2 linked regions of the Kluyveromyces lactis genome follow. The protein of the gene in region 1 interacts with the protein of each later gene in a pairwise test. Links are inferred from orthologs where the notes say so. Each region holds a gene or a part of one and is shown on either strand. Other genes may lie near its edges.

The links.
Region 2: the proteins of RPN14 (region 1) and NAS6 interact in binary tests that used the Saccharomyces cerevisiae proteins (3 or more experiments, as listed by UniProt). The link is inferred for Kluyveromyces lactis from reciprocal best matches to the Saccharomyces cerevisiae genes RPN14 and NAS6.

Annotation. Positions count from the first base shown.
Region 1 is NC_006037.1:775,803-779,066, forward strand, and holds RPN14 (Rpn14p), read left to right. Parts: upstream 1-1,157; coding exon 1,158-2,429; downstream 2,430-3,264. Other genes in the region: replication factor A subunit protein RFA1, read right to left, coding at 1-705; Golgi transport complex subunit COG7, read left to right, coding at 2,732-3,264. UniProt on the Saccharomyces cerevisiae protein: Acts as a regulatory subunit of the 26 proteasome which is involved in the ATP-dependent degradation of ubiquitinated proteins.
Region 2 is NC_006041.1:1,405,722-1,408,580, forward strand, and holds NAS6 (Nas6p), read right to left. Parts: upstream 1,474-2,859; coding exon 781-1,473; downstream 1-780. Other genes in the region: PHO81 (Pho81p), read left to right, coding at 1-665; prohibitin subunit PHB2, read left to right, coding at 2,072-2,859. UniProt on the Saccharomyces cerevisiae protein: Acts as a chaperone during the assembly of the 26S proteasome, specifically of the 19S regulatory complex (RC) and appears to have an overlapping role with RPN14.

The sequences.
Region 1 (3,264 bases):
ACCAGAAGAATCCAACAAATTCACATTCAAGATATGGCCCTCACCTCTATTATTTTGCCACTTCTTCAAATCACCTTTGAAAGAAACTCTGGCCTTTATGGTCCAGTTGTTCTGATATGGAGAAATTTGTTCAATGGCAAAAATAGGCCTTGAATTTTGGGATGACCCATTATTCGATTTTGCCTTGGGCACAGAACGTGGTTGTGGGGCTGGAATGTTGCTGGTACTGGTAGGAGCCATCTTAGAAGTCATAGACGATGTAGCAGACGCAGCTGCCGATGCAGCCTCGGATGCTACGGCCCCGTTATCAGTCAAAGTCACCAACTCATTCATATGTTCACCCAAATAAGCATCGACAAATTCTGTAGCATTATTAAACAAATCTAACCCACGGCTAACAATCTCTATCTCATCTACTAACAACACAAACTTCTTCTTCTCTTTGATCACTGCGCATTCCGCGTTCAACACTTTGAAAACATCCCCTCTTTCTAATTCTGCCTGTTGAGCCGCCTCTGCAGCTTTGTTCCTCAAAAGAGCCTTGACATGGTATTTTCCATCGTTGATGAGAATCAAATTCTTTTTAGCATTAGTCTCAGTCTTCTTGGTTTGAACAACCTGGTAAATACCGCCGGTAGGATTGTTGTACCTCTCCGGAATACGGAAAATATCCAATAAATCACCTTCCAATAGTTGAACACCCATCTTCTTCTACCTATTTTAAAGACAAATAGCAGAACAAATCCGTTACTTGACTCGACTTGGCCTGGGTTTCACCTGTAGCTAATCTATAACTGACCCTGAGATGGCGTTGTTTATTTACAGTTCGCCTTTATATACTCTGCGGAAATTCGAAAATTTTTCGTTGAACCAAAATAAAAGGGATAAAATCGAGGAAATTGCTTTCGCGTTTACGCGTCTTACACGTGAGTATCACATGACTATCTTTCAGGTGGTTATTCACGTGACTTTGGGTTTTTTGAGCATCAGGTACGTATTACCTTCATTGATGATGAACAACTTAAACACCAGCAGTGGATTTCTGATTTATGGATTTTGAGCAATAATGTCAGCAGGTTTCCTGTGGATATCAACTGTCCAAACAATTTGCCCGTTTTACTGTATACCTTCCTGTTATTTTCCCTTAGTTAAATATAATGAGAGTTGAGGAATGGAACATTTGCAGTGAGTTTGATGATATTCTTGATGATGTGAGAGGAGAAAAGGTTGCCAGCGATAAGATATGGGTATCCAGGAGCAGTGGTGAGCCATTATACGATTTGGAATTTGATGTACGGTTAGATTCCAGGGGTAATGTTGGGTTTCATAATGCGAATACTTCTGATAAAATTTCCTTTCAAAGGGTAAGGCCACATTTATATGAATTGACAGGACCTGATGCGACAGCAGGACATTTAGCTTCGTTTCAAAGTCCGAAAAAACGGTTCCAACTGCCTTCTGATATTGGAGCTGTTGATTTAACAAGTATAGATATCACGAACGTGTTTGACCCCGAGATACGTTTGGTTTGTGGTGATACGAATGGTGGCATATATGTGCTACGGAAGAACACCGGTACCAATTATAGCGGTCCATTACAAGAAGTGATAAAGTTACCGGAAGCGCACGCTAGTCACATCACCAAGACCCAATTTTTCCCTAACGGCCATGGATTCTTAAGCAGTAGTATCGATATGCGCTTGAAGATTTGGGATGCTTCAACCGGTACTGAGCTCAGAACTTTCATAGGTCATACTCGGTCAGTCAACGATTTTGCCATGGTCGATAGAGGTAGAAACTTCGTCTCTGCAAGTTCGGATGGATCATTAAAACTATGGGAATGCTCAACTTCAGCATGTGTCTTTACGCTCAATTCAAACGATGGCATAAATTGTATTTCATTGGCCAATTACCAGGGAAATCCAGCGACCACATCGTACAATGCATTGGACCATAGCAACGAATACAATACTGAGGGGAAAGCTGTATTTGCTGGACACGACTCTGGTATCATCACGTTTCATGATATCTATAACAGAAAGAAGATATTGGATATTTTACCGGCAAGTAAATCTGCATGTGTCACTCTAACGAGCCAGCACATTGCAGGTGATGACCATTACCTATTTGCTGGCTATTCGGATGGTACGATAGTATCATGGGATACTCGTAACGTTTCCAAACCGGTGGAGACGCTCCAGGTAAATGATAATGATTCTATCTCAAGATTATTCTTGGCACATAACACGTTGAACGTTTCTAGTGGGGTCCAATTTGCTTTCAATGTACCTGTTTTGGACGGGAAATTCAATTTCAATAAGCTTACACATCTAATTCGTCCTTATGATGAAGTGACTGATTTCTGTGTTGATGAATCACATCAAAATGTTTGGTGCGTCGGAAAAAATGGTATGCTATTGAAATACTGATTTGTCGTCCAGTCTAAAAGAGAAGCAATAGAATTGTAAATAGAATTATACCCATATATAGTCCAATAAATTATCCATACGTTGCTCTCATCAATGTGTATAGTAATATCTGCTTTGATATTGTATCCTTCTCTTTTAAACCTTTCTTACTGTGCATCTGAAGGCACCAAAAATCATCTTGAAATCTTAACATCAAAATGAAGAAGTTAACCTTCTACCTCTAAATATGATGATCATGAAACACCCAAGTAAGCCACCAAATCACCTTTGAAGGACGATATAGCACTATAATTTCCTACACGATGAGTAGAAGGATATCTGGTGCTAATGACCCTTTGCTAGACATGTTTTTCGATGATGATTTTGTACCTCAAGCATTCGTCGACATATTGTTATCATCTTTCCAGACAAGCCAATTAGAAGAATTGAAGACCAATTGCTCTAGTCTACTTTCAAAAATGGACTATTACAGTGGGCATATTACAAAAGAACTTGAGTCCACTATTCAGGTGCTTCAGAAGCCTGCTGAACTTATTATATACGCAGCAAATGAGGAACAGCAAGGAACAACAAAACTAGAGTATTATTTGGATACTCTAGCGAATAGTGTGAACTTATTAGAGACAGACGTTAAAGCTATTGATAAACAATTAGAAGAGCTGAATTCTAAATATGAAGACAGTAATGAGGTAACTGAAACCTTATCAAAGCTTACAGCAGCTAAAGAGCATCTGGTAACTGTTAAGAGATCATTTGATCTATTAAAGACCATAATGGATATTTCAATCCAAGATGATCAAGAAAAACTACAGCATATTTCGTTAGATGACTTTAA
Region 2 (2,859 bases), on another chromosome or scaffold:
TTTTGAGAGACAGATATGTCTTATTTGAGGATCTATTAAATAATGTCGACCCACAAATTCAGCTCAACATAAAGGTTTTGTTCCCAACAGAATCTGAGATACAATCTATACCAATGAAAGTTTCTCCTAGATACAATTTGAATTGTTTCATAGAAACAGTCTTATCTACTACGTTTGAACATGTAAGGAAACTTCGTCAAATGGGATCGACGAGATCAATAGTATTCTCTTCAACAAATCCAAGAGTTTGCTCTATCTTGAATTGGAAGCAACCTAATTTCCCTGTGTTGTTCGATATGAATGTTATTTCCGAGAATAGTGATGGTGATTTGGTGAAAATTACATCTAATGACCTAGCGTCCATGGCACTCGATACTAAAGACATTATTTATGGTGACCCAGGTACCATGTCCATAAAGGATGCTGTTATTTTTGCTAACAACAATAACTTGTTGGGAATGATCCTTCCTATAAATTTGTTGGATATAACCCTACAGTTGGTTGATCAAGTTCTTGGCCATGGTTTATTTTTGATTGGTTCTACCAATGGAACAATCAGTGAACATGAACAACGTGACCTTGGTATTAATGGTATTCAATATAAGGAAGAATTGGTCATCCATGAAAACTCCGAAACTGCTGATAGGGAAGCCAATTTTATTTAATCTTGCATTTTGTTTTTTTAGAATCTTCTACACATCAATCGTTATAAGCTCAATTTAATGACTGTTTCAGGTATATAAGCATACATTAACTACCAGCCCCTTCGAATTGGATAAATCATTCAACCTTTGACAAAAAGTAATCCTTCACTTTTGCGTCAACACAGATTTTATCTATGGACAAGTCATCGTTGTCGGTTTCTCCTTCCCATAATGCATGATACTTGTTGACCAACGTGACAGCAACATCGCCGTGACCTTCTGCCAAAGCATGGAACAAAGGAGACCATCCGTTTTTATCCTTTATATTAACAGGAGAGTTTTTATCGCATAATATCGACACAATTCCCACTGAACCGGAAGCTGCAGCTCTATGCAAAGGCAATTGACCAAGGCCATCTTTAATTCTCACTGAAGCTCCTCTTTCCACTAAAAGTTGAACCACATTTAAATGCTTCTTAGAGCAAGCTAAATGTAAAGCAGTGATCCCATTATTAGCCTGTAGATCAAGGTTTGGTTCAACAGTATGATTAAGTAACTTTTCAAGAATAGTAACGCTACCGATAGAACTAGCAATGTGTACCGGAGACCAACCAGATTCATCCAAAATAGTGTCCAAATCAATTTTCTTCATATAGGACAACAATATATCAATTATGTTGTCTTGCTGGAATGATACTGCCCAGTGCAAAGGATATCGGCCATCATCATCTTTAACCTTCACTGCGCCCGGAAACTCACTTAATATCTGTTGAACCTTTTCGGTATCTCCGTTCATACACGCAGCATGTAACAAAAAGTCAGCACCCATAGTTTGAATTGTTTATTGTGCTTTCAATGTTTTACAAATACACTGATCCCAGGACAGCTCTTGTATGGTTCTGACCAACCAACGCTTGTATGAAATAAGCTGTCTTTAAGTTGAAACCCTTTTTAAAGGGTTTTTACCTCATATCAAAGAAATAAGAAACGGCAGTGGAAAGACTTGGTACACCTGGACGAAATCTGGGTACACATTTGGAAAGCTGACAGGTTTTAAGTACTAAATAGGATACTTATGGGTCTCAGATAACATTCAACTTCCCGGTGCCTGGCTATACCACCATGAGCAGAGGCTAGAGTGTTGATGTTTTATCACGTGATCCGTGCATTGTGACAAACATATTTTCGGGGATGTCGCCCCTTCTCAGATGTTAAGTGGCAAAGTGAGAAATGAGCAACTCAGTTCGTTGTTTGAAATTGCTTAAAGGGAAAGGGTTCAAGCAAAGGAACTAGGAGGTTACGACAATCGCAGCAGTAATATTATATATATAACCGCACATTGCCCTTTTCTGATTGGCTGTAAATTTGAAACAAAAGCTGTGTTTTTACCCCCCGCAAAGTTATTATAATTTAATCAAAAGAACGCAATGAACAGATATCCAGGTGATTTTGGTAAGTTTGCCAGATCTGTACAAAGACAATTGGCTCGTGCACAACAATCAGGTGGTAAATATCCTTCCGGACAGCCTCCTCGTGGTGCCTTTGGGGCTTTAGGTGGTTTATTTTTGTTGATTGGTGGTGGATTTTTGGCTAACGAAGCTCTTTTCAACGTTGATGGTGGTCACCGTGCCATTGTTTATTCACGTATCAACGGTGTTCAACCGAGAATTTACCCAGAAGGTACTCATTTTATCATTCCATGGGTTGAAAACCCGGTCGTCTACGATGTGCGTGCCAAGCCAAGAAATGTATCGTCATTGACCGGTACTAAGGATTTACAGATGGTTAACATCACCTGTAGAGTGCTATCCAGACCTAACGTAGAGAATTTACCAATGATTTACCGTACTCTCGGTGTTGATTACGATGAAAGAGTGCTTCCCAGTATCGTGAATGAAGTTTTGAAGGCGGTGGTTGCCCAATTTAATGCTTCTCAATTGATTACCCAAAGAGAACGTGTCTCTAGATTGATTAGGGAAAACTTGGTGCGTCGTGCTAAGCATTTCAATATCATGTTGGATGATGTCTCCATCACTTACATGACTTTCTCTCCGGAATTCACAAACTCTGTTGAAGCCAAACAAATTGCTCAACAAGACGCTCAAAAGGCTGCTTTCGTCGTGGATAAGGCCACTCAAGAAAAGCAAGGTATGATCGTTAAGGCACAAGGTGAGGCCAAATCTGCTGAATTGATTGGTGAAGCCATCAAGAAAAG